2 linked regions of the Mytilus edulis genome follow. The protein of the gene in region 1 interacts with the protein of each later gene in a biochemical or structural test. Links are inferred from orthologs where the notes say so. Each region holds a gene or a part of one and is shown on either strand. Other genes may lie near its edges.

Evidence for each region.
Region 2: the proteins of E3 ubiquitin-protein ligase RNF4-like (region 1) and ubiquitin-conjugating enzyme E2 W-like form a complex in vitro, tested with the Homo sapiens proteins (2 studies listed by BioGRID). The link is inferred for Mytilus edulis from reciprocal best matches to the Homo sapiens genes RNF4 and UBE2W.

The regions. Positions count from the first base shown.
Region 1 is NC_092347.1:57,598,530-57,606,282, reverse strand, and holds the start of E3 ubiquitin-protein ligase RNF4-like, read left to right. Parts: upstream 1-4,750; 5' UTR 4,751-4,798; coding exon 4,799-4,861; intron 4,862-7,332; coding exon 7,333-7,489; intron 7,490-7,753. Other genes in the region: phosphatidylinositide phosphatase SAC2-like, read right to left, coding at 417-497, 4,583-4,682. UniProt on the Homo sapiens protein: E3 ubiquitin-protein ligase which binds polysumoylated chains covalently attached to proteins and mediates 'Lys-6'-, 'Lys-11'-, 'Lys-48'- and 'Lys-63'-linked polyubiquitination of those substrates and their subsequent targeting to the proteasome for degradation.
Region 2 is NC_092344.1:109,518,646-109,526,281, reverse strand, and holds the start of ubiquitin-conjugating enzyme E2 W-like, read left to right. Parts: upstream 1-4,627; 5' UTR 4,628-4,658; coding exon 4,659-4,673; intron 4,674-7,636. Other genes in the region: putative inositol monophosphatase 3, read right to left, coding at 2,736-2,901, 4,110-4,436. UniProt on the Homo sapiens protein: Accepts ubiquitin from the E1 complex and catalyzes its covalent attachment to other proteins.

The DNA.
Region 1 (7,753 bases):
CCATTTAAATGGTTTTACACAAATAATTTTGGGGCCCTTTATAGCTTGTTGTTCTGTGTGAGCCAATACTCTGTGTTGAAGGCCGTACCTTGACCTATAATGGTTTACTTTTATAAATTGTTATTTGGATGGAGAGTTGTCTCATTGGCACTCATACCACATCTTCCATATCTATTTATTAATATAAATGTATAATTATTCTATAATGAGCATGTGATGCCATCCTAAGATCCTAGTTCACCAGTTTGTATTGCCTTGTTCCAGGGGCAGATTTAGAGGGTTTTCCTGGATGTGTGGAAAAATTTGGCTGATTATGTAGAGAATCACTGAAGCATGATAGGAGCGGGCACTCTCTTAGGCAGTCAGTGGGCACCCCCTTATGAAAATTTCTGGATCTTCCACTGAATTCATCTTACCTGGGTGAACTTTGACCTTTCCAATAACCCCATAGACCATTCCAATACAAACAGGATTCCATGCTGAACATAAGTCTATACCTATAAGAATAAAATATCATACAAATATATCATACATGGGAAAGATTGTTGTTGGATTGCTGTCTTTTAAAAACATGTGTAAGATGATATGTCTGTGAGACACAATGTTTTGTCTGCATACGCCAGGATTGGCAAATAAAATATTGGTTTGTTTGATTGTTTGTTTCCTTCACTACATCCTACATTTACAATAAATCACAAAATATAAGTTCTGACATTTGAAAATGAAATGTAATTTTGTTTTTGTTTTGAAACTGAACTGATGTGAAAGGTCAATGCCATAGAAATCAATATGCACCATCATAAAAAAGGTCAGAAATGTATGATACTACTAGACGATTCAATTATCTGTCAGCTTAATATTTAGAAGTAACCACACTGGTTTCTTAAAGATATGTTAGATAACCTAATATTATTTTCAATTGATTAATTGTATCATCTAAATATTGCAACTTATTTTTTCATGACACTGACTATTGAATTTATAGTATGAGGCAGCTTAATAGAGCCTACATCCTAATCAATTATTAAGGTTAATCACTTGACATTCATTTTTTTCCTTAACAAATAATGTGAGGAACTATAGGCCTTAGCATTGTAAACAATCATTTTTGAGTTATATGCAAAAGGTCAGATCAATTGGGTTAAGGACACCACCATTTCAATTCAAGGGGGAGGGGGGGAGATAGGTGGGGATGGTTGTTTCCTTAAAAAATATTCTGATCACTAATTTGATGAAAGAAAAATATTTAGGTCCAGATGATGACCAAATTTCCCATACTGAATAGTATTATACATTTGTATTCTGAAAAAAAATAATTGATTGCATGTGTGAAAAACTAAAAAAAAAAGGTTCGCACTTTGACCAAAAAATGTTGTTGAGATTCTGACATAAAACCAGAACACCCCCCCCCCCCCCCCCCCCCCCCCCGTCCCCATTTGAAGTTAAATGATTACTCCCTAGAATAATGTGTCAAACTGATATTCTTTTTTAAAATTCATCTGCTGGATTGGAGCTACGGTACACATTAAGATTAATTTACAGAAAGACTAAAGCATGTAGGGTTTTTATTTTAATGTAAATAGCCATTTAACAAGTTCAAACATATTTTTTTTTTTCCAAATCAAAAACATGAAATAAATAATTTTGTGAAAAAAGCAACAATTTTTAATGACTGATGATCAAGGAATCAATATTATTCGACATGTTCGATAATAGATACTTTCTTGGGAACAGATTAACTTCTTATCATAATTTGTATATATAACTAGTTAAACATTAATGGTCTAAAAGGTCAATGATGAACCAGTTTATTAGTCTGACTGCTGTTTGGTACATCATAATTAAGGCAGAACAGCTATTATTAAATTGTTTAAAAGCAAGACGATAATAACAAAATACTATCTTAAACATTGATTCTTTGTAAGTGTTTCTTTCTGATTTATTCATATAGAATGAAATAGGAGTGCAGGTAAAATGTCCTTATCATGATTCGTCAGATGTGAATGAAGTCCATTTATGTACTAATTAGCTATATATATAGTAGCTCTATTGCACATCTGGAATACATTTTATTTCGAACAATGTACATACATGTATATTGTTCTTATTTAGTAATTTTTACCCAGCACCATATATTTAGGTTCAGTTATTCAAATCCAACTACTTGTCGCTGATTTTTCAAAGAAATCGATGCAGATAATATAATTAAACATGGACAGGAAGAGAACCCCAAAATGAACTGTTGTGCAAAAAGAAATATTCACATTTTCCATTTGCTCAAACATGATTTAAAATATTTTTTTGATAATCAGCACCCTGGTTAATCCAATCATTATCAACTATAATTAGCATGATTATAGCATTGTCTTAGACAATGCTAATCATGCTAAGCATATAAAGATAGATACTCAATCAAAGTAGATAATCATTATCAACTATTAGCATTGTCTAGCGTGAAAGATAGATACTCAATCATGGTAGATAATCATTATCAACTTTTAACATTGTCTAGCATGAAAGATAGATACTCAATCATGGTAGATAATCATTATCAACTTTTAGCATTGTTTATAGTGAAAGACAGATACTCAATCAAGGTAGATAATCATTATAAACTATTAGCATTGTCTAGTGTGAAAGATAGATACAAAATGTACTCAATCAAGGTAGATAATCATTATCAACTATTCGCATTGTCTAGAGGGAAAGATAGATACTCAATCAAGGTAGATTATCATTATCAACTATTCGCATTGTCTACATGGTCTAGAGTGAAAGATAGATACTCAATCAAGGTAGATAATAATTATCAGCTATTAGCATTGTATATACAGTGTAGCTTGAAAGATAGATACTCAATCAAGTTAGATAATCATGATCAACTATGAGTATTTTTTTTAAATCTTTTAACTTTAAAATCAAATGAATACTGTTTTCTCCAATATTGTCTCAACATTTTCATTTCAAAAAAAAAAAAGTGAAAACAAGTGAACATGGTGAAACTGCAAGCTAATGCTCACTGATGATACCCCCGCCGCAAGTGGATAATATTAATAATGGTGTTCGGTAAACAGGAAGTTGTCGAGTGATGAATCTGAAAATGAATCACATGGTATACATGGTATAGCAGACTTATATCAAGCCTGAAACCAAATTTTAGAAATCCTTTTAGTATAGTTCTTGAGAAAAATGTGACGAAAAATTTCAACTTGGCTATCAGGTGTAAAATGATACTTGTTCGGTAAACAGGAAGTTGTTAAGTGATGAATCTAAAAAAGCAATCACACGGTATAGAGGACTTACATTGTATATCAAGCCTGAAACCAAATTTTAGAAATCCTTTTAGTATAGTTCCTGAGAAAAATGTAACGAAAATTTTCAACTTGGCTATCATGTGTAAAATGATACAAGTGTTCGGCAAACAGGACGTTGTTGTGTGATGAATCTGAAAATGCATCACACAGTATAGCTGAAATATATAAACTCTGAAACCAAATTTCAGAAATCCTGGTAGTGTATATACATTGTAGTTCCTGAGAATAATGTGACGAAAAATATTCATGGGACGGACGGACTGACGGATTGATGGACTGACGGAAGAACGGACTGACGGATGGATGGATGGATGGATGGACAGACAGAGGTAAAACAGTATACACCCCTTTTTTTTAAAGCAGGGGTTACAGTATACCCCCCTTTTTTTAATAGCAGGGGTATAAAAATGTCATGTAAACACCATGTATGTATGTACTGGTAAATGCCTCCGATATCCGAAGAACCCCTCAAAAGCTGCAAGGGTACAGTGGCATCCATGTACACTCCCTAACGGGATTAATGGAGATGTGTCACTAACGTATGTTTATACGACAATTATTTTTACAAGGACAATCAATCCCCACCCAACACAAAGGGAGTGCTAGGACACCGGGCAGTCTGTTATTATAGTGGAGGAAGCCGAAGTACTCGGAGAGAACCACCGGGCCACTCGGTGGAAATAGACAAACCAGAGAGATATCAGAAGATTGATCTCCAGGTCAAAGTAAGGGACAACTTTGACCAACCGAGGCCCCCAAAGTACCCATTCTAGTTTAAACTCCAGTCTGGGTACCAGAGATGTGTGTGAGAGGGTGAAAATTACCCTTCTGATGTGCTGATATTTTCAGCACTGTAGCCATCGGTCATAACCACTAGACCACGAACTCACATAGTACATGTAATTACTGTACAGTGGTACTAATGTATAATACCTGTATGGAGTTATATTTTTCAGAATGATAGGTCATTCTTTTCGAAGAATCATAATTTTTGTTCCGCTCGGCTAATTTTTGCCCAAAATAACTGGCTTTGGAATTTTATAAATTGTTGAAAATCACAGTCATACAGACTTTTTTTCTATACGCCTCCAGTTTTTTAGCTGATTTTTGATATGTGAGACTACCATCATGTTTGTGTCCACAAAGGCACATGTGTTATTGAAATTGCAGACTTTCAACTTTTTGAGACGGGGCCATTCGTGTCGGATTGACACATCTAGTTGGGATGTTTTTATCATAAACATATATGGATAAACATTAGAAATCACCTTTTTTTGGTTCAAGATCTCCTGTAGTTCTACTACACCACAGCGTAAAATCGCCATCCTGTAAGATATAATGGTCCTCAGTGTGAAAAACTTGTATCATTTTATCAATTCTTTATCACAGGAACCTTATCTCCACAAGTTTCATTTCATTTTTCACTTTTGGGGCAAAAAATAATATACGAGATAGAAAATCGAGCTAAATGTCAGTTGCAGGAAATGAACACTTTATTTACCTTCAGCTTTGAGAGCAACACTTCCGGTAAAATCAGAAATATGAGTGTAAGTCTGTATGGATGATAACATTATAAATATATTGCTTACTTTGATATATGAAGTAGTTTACACGATTTTTTTTTACAAAATTTAACTTTTTGATGATTGTTGAATTGACGTTCTTCTAGCTATAGAGGTTTAAAAACAAATATGGTGTGTGTCAAAAGAAACTGAAAGTGAAAAATACAGACTAATTTTCTTTTTCTCATTTTGTATCAATAGACAACTTTCGAGTTCGATGCTTTTCCGTCAAAAACTCTGGTTTTAGTGAACGTCATTTGTGCGTTTAGGGGCGTCGTAACTTCCATTCAAATGTTGAGCGAGTGGTTGGAAAACTATAATTCTATATTGTACGAATTATTCGGCAAATTGAATTCTCAAAATTGACAATCAGCATTGCTGTCATTAGGGAATTGTCATTAAGTACCTACAGAACAACCATTATTTCTAGTTTATCCTCCATAATGACGATCACTAGGACGCTTGATGCATGTAAATAGTGCAGGGATACAGGCGACCCCCTCTATCTGGTAAATGTCATAAAGGCGCGTATAATTGACGAGTTTTTTCCGGTGACGGATGAACTCGAAAGTGGTCTATTCTTTTTATGCCCCCTTTTACAGGAAGTATTAATGAATGCTGCTAACCGTCTCAGTGTTCTAGGATTTTTTTGGCACCTTGACTTACCACGGGTAAGATCAATAAAAAAATTACTTACCCACATCTAAAAGTTAAATCCGCCAACCAATGCGGACGGCGCAAAAAAAACGATTTCTTACTAAATTTGACAAATATGTTATAGTTATTACTATGTCATTTATTCAGAGCTATAATAAATGCAACTGTAAGTTTATTTTCCTCCGATGACAAGAAAAAAAATTGTTTATGTCCCGATTTAAGCACCAGTTATCAATCCGGATTTTCCGATTTTTACCGACACCGTGACCGACTTTTAGAATGATAGGAGAAGAATGTGGTCTCTTTTGCGCTTGATTACACCTAGTAAACGAGTGCTTGAATAAAAGCGCCGATAGACATCGACAAAATCTTCGATCTTTTATCAAAGTTTTTTCTCGTGATTTAATAAAAATAAAAAGCAGATATGGGAAAATTGAAGAGGACCGGGAAATTTCAAGAGTTTTTCGGCTTCCCCGAACTTGAAAATTGACTTACCACCGGGTGACAAAGGCTAAAAAATGACTTACCCGTTGTCCTAATCCACTTACCCCGGGTAACGGGTAATGGGAATCCTAGAACACTGCGTCTGCTTGTCCGTCGTCAACATATCATACATTTATACCTCCAAAATGCTTTAACAGATATTCAAGAAACTTTGTTTATATCTTTTGACGTGAGCTCCCTTAAAAAAGCTTTCATTTTATCAATTTCAGATTAACTGTTGGTTTCCGACTTTTGGGGTTTTATTTATTGAAAAAGGAGGGATTTTCCATCAATGTCCAATTTTCTGACAATAACTCAAGAAATGCTTTTACCAATTTTCATGAAACTTTGTTTGTTTATAATATGAGGCAGGCATTACCTGTGAATGGGGACAAAGTCTATGATTTTTTTTTTTAAATCAACAATGTTAAAAAGAGAAACGGAGATACCGTAATGTTTCCGATTTTGGTTCTGTTGTTAGGGATTTTAGTTGTGACATTTATTTAAGTTATGACGTCATATTCAATGTAATCAAAGAAACGCTGTCATCAGATAACTTTTTTTTAATAACAAACATTTGTTTTAAAATGAATTAGTATTAGTTACTTTCTTAGACTGATAAATATACATTTTATTCAAAGTCTCATGTCACAAGACCGGAAACGGAAGTAGATTTCTGCGCAGACTGGAAATTCATAAACGCGACAAAAAAAATTCGGGAAATTTTCCCGATTTAAAAAAAAAAATATTTATTATTGAATTTTCTACTGTAATAGGGGACTTGGTCACGATATTATATAGTCTGATGTAGAACTGATTTACTAAGTATTGCGCAACAGCACAGTGTATTGCGCAACCACAAAAAATCTAATTGGATACAAATTCAATTTATTTATTTATAACCTTAAACCAATTTGAGTTCTTTGACTTCATTTATTAATATGTCAAATAGTTACATGTACTTACAATCAAAATTCAGACCTGTATCAAGCTTGAATATTGTGTCTTTTTTGCCCAAATTAAACTGTTCAGGGTTGGACCTCTGGAGGCGTATCCAGCTGCATTCAGCTAAGCAGTTTATTATTAATATCATGGCAGTTATATATTTTATCATCTTGCAACATGTTACAATGTATACAGAATAAAAGCATTTTTGTTTTTGATACTAACTTTATCAGCAAGAATATCAAGCAAGCCCACTAAGGCAAGTCATAATAATGTGGTACTGTTGGTATGATATTAGAATCTAATTCTAGAAGTGCCCTTTGGGCATCTTTTCTTAATAATAATGTAATGTATTTTATTTGAATTGACAGCTTCCTAGAATGCAGAGATCTGATCACAGGAGACACAGACGTTTGACATCTAGAAGTTCGTCAGGTCAAAGGTTACCAATAGTTGTTCAAACACAAAGAGCAAGAAGAAGAAATAATCCTCTAAGGGAAAGAAATCAGGAAGTAGTTGATGTTGAAGGTATAAATATTTGCTTCTCTTTAACATGTTGAATAAAATACAGACATGAATTAAATTCAACAATCCAGTTCCATCCTCAACAGTGATGAAGCCTCAAAAGAGAAATTAGAAATGCATATTAATATACGATATAGCTTAGGAGAATAGGCAACTTCCAAGTGAAGTCTAAGTGAAGAAATGCAATTAAATTTTTATACGACCGCAAAAATTTTAATTTTTTGGTCGTATATTGCTATCACGTTGGCGTCGTCGTCGTCGTCGTTG
Region 2 (7,636 bases), on another chromosome or scaffold:
ATATCATCATCAAAATTAAATATATATATTCAAATAACAAAATTATTAAGATTTGATTGGTAAAATTATGTAGTACTTAGTGTTATTGTGTAGTTAACAGAGCAGAGAAATTGTAACTGTCAGGAGAGCCTTGAAGTCATTAAACTTTCAAGTCAGTTTTTTGTACTCTTACTCAAAACTCAAGCAATAAAAATGTTGGATTTCATGTTTCGAGCATGATTTGTGTGCTCCGAGCACTGAGCAAAGTTTTATGACTTCAACCCTTGACCTCGAAAGTTCTGCTATCTGCTATCGAAACTTATTTGATTATACATTGTGATTGCTTGCATTTGCAAAGTACATGTATATATCAAACAATGTATCAAGTCATTGTTCCTTTATAAATATGTATAGACTGTTAATGTACATTTATCTTGCTATTCAGATTTTGAATCCTAAAGAATAAACTATTTCAGATAAACAAATAAAAGCTGTATATTTTAACAAACATAAAACTAAAATTTTCAGGTAAAATAGATTATAATTGTGGATGCACATCAGTATATATGGAAACAATTATAAAAATTCAAATTAGAGTTTGCATATTGAAAATTTGATTGATTGTTAATGGCCTTATGGTGTAACACCACTAATTCAGGCCCGGCCAGAAAGCACATACCAGAAAGTAGTACATATTTAACACAAAATAGTTCCTACGCATGAGTGTAACTTTCAAAATATGTAGAATATTTAGGTATTTTTGGTATCAAATGAAAGCTGAAGGACTGGTGATCATTGTAGAACACTTTTGGACTTTTAATTTTGAATAGTAAAAAAACTGCTCCAAATTTTAAAAAGAGGGTACATTTTGTCTGTTTGTCAGATCTGAAGTACCTGTTTTGGTACATCTGAAGTTCCGGGAACCAGTTCTTTCTTATATGCAATGTAAGGTATGTTGATTTTTTCAGTACAAGACACCATAAAGTGTTGCTTTGAAATGCAATGATTGCCACTTTATTTGAACTTAAAATAAAAGAGGTGTGCCTGCTTGAAACGGAGGAATTTAACATAGAAAGCAATGGGACCATGAATTAGTGGTGTACTTCCTATTACAGAGAATCACCAGAAATCCAATTTTTAGAAGTTGTACCTATTCCAATGAAAATAAGTCAAATATGATGTTAGTAATCATGTCTAATCATCTTTTTTGGGTCAACCGTCCTGCTTATGGGAAATTTAAGCTCTTAAATTGGCATACTCAAATATGTTAGCCTTTTATGGTCATACAACATGCATGCAGTTAAGACTTGACTCCAAGTTCTCATTTTTGCATTTTTTCTGATTCAAATCAATAAAACATGTATTTTATGACTTGTTTATGGAACAAAATAGCTCTTGGTCAAAATAATCACATGATTTTTCAAGTTTTTTTGTTTTTCTTATGGTAGCCTTTTACAATCTAGGCAAATGGTATATACTCATATAAGAATTCTTAAATCTCACTGTACATGCAATTTTGGACCAGTTTAGCAAGTTATCTAGCTGAGGGATATATAAATTGCTCTTATTAATCTATGTTTTACCACAGAATTATAATTCATGCAAAAAAAAAAGCCTTTTTTCAATTTCAAGAAAAAAGGGGGGATAATTTCTCATTTATGTCTTAAGTTTGGACTAATGTATTGTTATTTAATGAAGAACCTCTGATAAAAATATGACTAATAGTAAGCACATAGCTTTCCTAATAGAAATTAATAAATAAAACAATGATATTGAGAATAAAAAAAATATATTGGCCAATGGTAATATACATATGCAGTTTTCTTTGAATAACCCATATGTTACTACCAGTCCAATTTGAGCTTTAAATTAATAAAATAGTATTTGGACTAAGGCTTTATATGTTTTTTATTGCTTGAAATAGATCATAGAATGAAATAAAGTAATGCTCAAGTCAATATAGCAAGTTTGGTTCTGTTATAGGTGTAACACCACTAATTCAGGCCCGGCCAGAAAGCACATACCAGAAAGTAGTACATATTTAACACAAAATAGTTCCTACGCATGAGTGTAACTTTCAAAATATGTAGAATATTTAGGTATTTTTGGTATCAAATGAAAGCTGAAGGACTGGTGATCATTGTAGAACACTTTTGGACTTTTAATTTTGAATAGTAAAAAAACTGCTCCAAATTTTAAAAAGAGGGTACATTTTGTCTGTTTGTCAGATCTGAAGTACCTGTTTTGGTACATCTGAAGTTCCGGGAACCAGTTCTTTCTTATATGCAATGTAAGGTATGTTGATTTTTTCAGTACAAGACACCATAAAGTGTTGCTTTGAAATGCAATGATTGCCACTTTATTTGAACTTAAAATAAAAGAGGTGTGCCTGCTTGAAACGGAGGAATTTAACATAGAAAGCAATGGGACCATGAATTAGTGGTGTACTTCCTTATAAACACTTAATGCAACAACTCACAAAATGGCTATATATTTGTTTATTGTTTAAAAATCAAATTTGTAAACTTTCAAGCGTTTGCTGTATTTACCCAAAAAGAACATAAGTATACTCCTACGTATACTTGCATACATAGGTATATATGTTCTGTCCTGGACTTTAATATAGCACTAAGCATAAAAATAATAATATTGTTGAAAGGTGTTGTTTTCTTATATGTCTCTTATCTTATGTATTTGTATGTAATGTGATAATAGCTCTTTACAGGGCCCTTTAATTGGACAAAATATTGTTATACCTGTGTATTCCTTTGTAGCATCAAGAGGGTCGACCCACACTGTAATCTTTGAGTTTGATATTGATTGGTCACTTGATATTGTTTCTGCAACTTCTGTTAAATGCTTATTTGTGTCTTTTATTTCCAGTAAATTCACAGGTTTTAGATCTTTTTCTTCAGATATAACCTAAAGAGAAATATACCAAGTTTATGAAATAAGGCATTTGACACTTAAGCTAAACATCATGAACACATTTTGGATCAACGATAATCTTATCAATATCAACAATAATGAGTACTACAAGGTTAAAACAATACATGTATATATATAACAGACCAACCTAACAAACCGGGTACATTGTAATAAAGAAAAATATTGCACACCAATATAAAGAGTCTGAGACAGCAAAGGGTTCACCCTCAGAAATCATAGCTCAAACAGTGAGTTCTCATTACAGCATGCTTTGGTGCTGAGAGATATACAAAGGCTGTGAAAAGGCACAGTAAAATTGTAAAATACCTGGGGGACTGAACATGTGACATTATCCAAAAACCTTGCAAATATATCTGATTGCAAAATAGTACCTACATGTATGATTTATAAAGCATTGAACAAAATTCAGTATGAATGTGGTAGAGCAATAAAAGTAGTAAAGAAATATTATACACTAGAAAACTGAAAATAGTAGGCTGACCTACAATGTATATATCATAAAATTTTACTGACATACCATTTTTGGACCGAAAAATTAAAGAACCAAAGATAGATATCTGGGACCTTTCTCAGACTGATATTAAGACAGTGCTTAAAGGGTCTGTCAATAACACTACCATACGTCATTTCTGGAATCATGTTTTTCACTGGAAAAGATCGCCAATTTCGCACCCCTTTATGACGTCATTTACCAGATAGAAGATGTGTCTGTATCCCTGCCCTATTAAAAGTTTCCAGCATTATCGTCATTTTGTAGGGTAGTAAAGAAATCATTTATGTTCCATTAGTACATAATCTTGATTCTTCTTCTTCTTCCTTTATAGTACAGGCCTCCCAGGGGAGTATTATCGTACTGTTTTATGTACATGTTCGATGTGAGAACAACAAATGTGCGGGTAGGTGCGATTCCTGTACAAATGAGGGAGGGTGACCATCTTATTAGATTTTAATTTCCCAAATATTTTGTGTAGTATAAAATCAAACTTTTTCATCCGTTTGCTCAACATGAGTTGGAAGTCAGGATGCATACATTTTTGTCACGTGGCGATGGAAGTCACACGACAGATACATGTAAGTCTAAAAACTGTTTCCCCAAACTGCCTTATTGTAGGTACGAAACAAACCAGAACTAATAGACTAGCATTTAAGAAAACTATCATTAGGTCTTATATAATAACTACCTTTAGACCAGGGAATGCTTTTGCCAATCCATATACAATAGCCCTGTGCGACTGTGTATCTCCTTCAGTCTTCACATCTTTGACACCTTCATCTGTCTTTCCTTTCAGATTTTCCTGAAGTACATTACTAGCTAGTCTTACATCTTTTACTCTTTTGCCCCCTTCTTGTGCAAGCTGTATACACACTGATAACAGTTCTTTCATGCTAACTCTGGGCTCTCTATGGAACCAGTCGGGAAGACCAAACATGTACAAAGCTGCACATACACCAAGAGCTATAAATACAGCTCCACCAACAGGGTTGATTCTTACATTTGCAGGTCCCATTGTAGATCATAGATGTCGAGCTGGAAAAATAAGTAGAAGCTTGATGTAAAGACTTAGTTTCGAATAATATTTTAAACCTATGGAAAGAAATGCACGATCCACAAAATTAAGAAATCTAATTTTTATTTCTAATACTTTATACTTTTTATATATGAAACACGATAAAACAATAAATTTTTAGTTTCTTTTTATTCGAAACTAAAGGTAAACAGACAGACGATCATGGCTTCTATGGAGGTATTCCACTTTTACATTTCAGTCTTTTATTCGATATATGAGACAATATCTGAAAAAGTCTAATTTCCATGTCCCGCACTTCACCAGCAATTATTTTTTTATTCAACCATCTTTTTTGAAAATTTTAAGTTTCAGTATAAACTAAATTATATAATGCACCATGGCCTGCCAATTAAACACTCATTCTTATATTTCTTCCAATAAAATATTGTAATTTAAATGTTCAACCCCCCTAAAATCATGTTGTCCCCTGTGTTTTTTTGAAAACTAAATCATTCAAATAATATCCAAATTAATTAAACAGGCGTCCGATTCTCACATATATGATATATTATATAATAAACTTGCCCCTAATTTGTCTTTTTATATTATAACTATAGCATGTAATAAAATTTTGCAAATTTTAAGAGAAAAAAAATTTGTCCCCAGGGCTGATTTCCCTCCTGTTACCACTGGGTTTTTTTTACCTGTGGAAACATTTACAAGACCAAGAGTTATTTTCCCATTATGTATTGTGCAGAGCATCATTTCCTGAATGCATTAGTACAAAGAAATAGTTGGAAAGGCGGCCAGGTTTGAAAATTCAAGCCCATCCAAGGTAAGAATTTATAGAAAAATACTTATTGGTGTTCTATCCTGTTACAGCCTTTTCTTACACTTACTGAGAATATTTTTAAGTGTGCACCACAGCATTAAGTGTGTTTTTATATCATCTTTTTAAAAGTTATATGTCACAGGAAATACACTTACATTTAATGTGATAAAAAGGACAAAAACTATCGCGTAATTCCTTTCTGTTACGTTCTGTCATGTTACCTGATAAAAAGTAACAGCATAACCATCATCAGTAACAGGAAGGATGTTCAAGACAATTTCACTGACAATCGAAAAGTTAATCTACTATATGCTAACCATTTTATTTAATATAAGTTATCACCACCATATTAAATAAATTTCTAAATAATATACAGTATATTTAATAAAAAAATAGGTTTTTTGCTTTTGATAACAGCAGAGAACATTGTGCAATTCTAGTTTAGTAAATAGTAACAGAAAGGAATTTATTTTAGAATTTTTCCTTACCTAGGCAGATTTTTCATCTTGCAAATACAGTTTCAAAGGATAAATCACATTGTTTGCTGTTATCTTCCAATTGTGACCAATTTAAAATGATGTATTTTTCTTAAACTTTAAAATAAAGCAGAAAAATCCTTTCTGTTAACAACTCTGTCCTGTTACCGTTGTGCTGTTACTCAAGATTCTTTCATGTTACCGACATATCTGACTATATTTAAGTATATTTCTAAACCTTTTGTATTGCAAATGCTAAAATAAATAATTGGCATTTGATAAACTCTTGCAGGATATACTAGTAAACCACAAATATTGTCTTAAACTTATTCATTATTCCCATTAGAAACTTTTTAAAATTGATTCACTTTGGTAACAGGAAAGAACTGGATTTGTTTTGTACCATTTTTGAAATAGCCATTGTTTCCTTATAAAACAATTTTTTGAATTACAGACAACAGTTCCTAGATCCCCAATGTGTGTTCTTCAATTTGTGCTATTAAAATACTGGGTCTAAAAAAATTTTTTTGGTTTTTTCTTATTTCCAAAAATTAGACTTTTTCAGATATTGTCTCATATTAATAATGTGATGTGCATTATGAAACTTGTGGTTTGACTCATATGTTTAAGTATGAAATTACTTCTACAACAAACATGACACAAAGTTTGTTGAAGTCGTGTATAGTAACAAAAAAATTACTTCCGAAAATGCAATATGGAAATGATAAACAGATAAAAAAAATATTCATAGACATTTTTATTTAGTGTCCTTCTTAAATACTAATAACAGTTACATTAGAGACTTTCACTAATATTTGGGATCTCCTGTAGTTGGTGATCGCAATACTGGTATACCAGTATTGTCCATAATACTGGTATAAAAATTTTGTACCAGTATTGTTACTTTTTATTAAAAAAACAGCAATACTGGTACATTACTGATATACCAGTATTGTAGTTGTATTGTTGATTAGACTATATTGAAGATCAAAGGGAGATTAAATGGAACTCAAAAAGATTATAGAGGATAATTGTGAAATCAATTAACAACCAGTTAAAAGTCATTACTATACTGTACTTGCACAAATAAACAAAGGATTATTGAAATTAACTCATATCATCATTATTATTTAAACAATTGCTAATAATTTTATCATATTTCTATATTTTATTTTATTTAATATAGATAAAATAAAATAAAAGCTTATTATTATCTGAGCAATACTTTAATAAATTCAAGCAAATTATTAGACTCTAACACTGTAAATTCAGCATTTACATGTATGCCATCACATATTTTGACAGATATTTTAATACATGTATACATTTTTAGTGTACTAAGATCATATGCATTTGTTTGTCTTTATTTTCTTATTAATCTTTCACAACAAAAGATATCAATATAATTCATTAATTATAAAAAGTTGCTTTATAGGGGAACCTTGTTATAATCCAATTAACTAGTTTGTCTACATAAATGTTAAGGGTTGAAGCAATTGATTCAGAACCATGGACAATACAATTAGTAGCAGATACATGTATATCTACTGGTACAAATACTAGACCAGCATTCTGACAGTTAGAGAGCTATACAAATGCTATCTGAAATAGCTTGTAATCTAGTAAGCGTTAGAGAAAGTCCACAGAGACTGAATACCTAAATACCAATATAGTAAGGGGGAGGGGTTGCATAAATCACATCTGAAGAAGAAATACCAATGCTGATGATACAGAAGCTATAACAGCATTAATGTCAATATAAAATTCACTAAAATATACTACATGAATCTTGGAAAGAGAGAGCTGAAAGAAAACATAGAAGAAAGTACAGAGTTTGTTAAAATGCTGAGACAGAAAGGTTAAGAAAAAAACATCAGAAGATTTAAAACTTT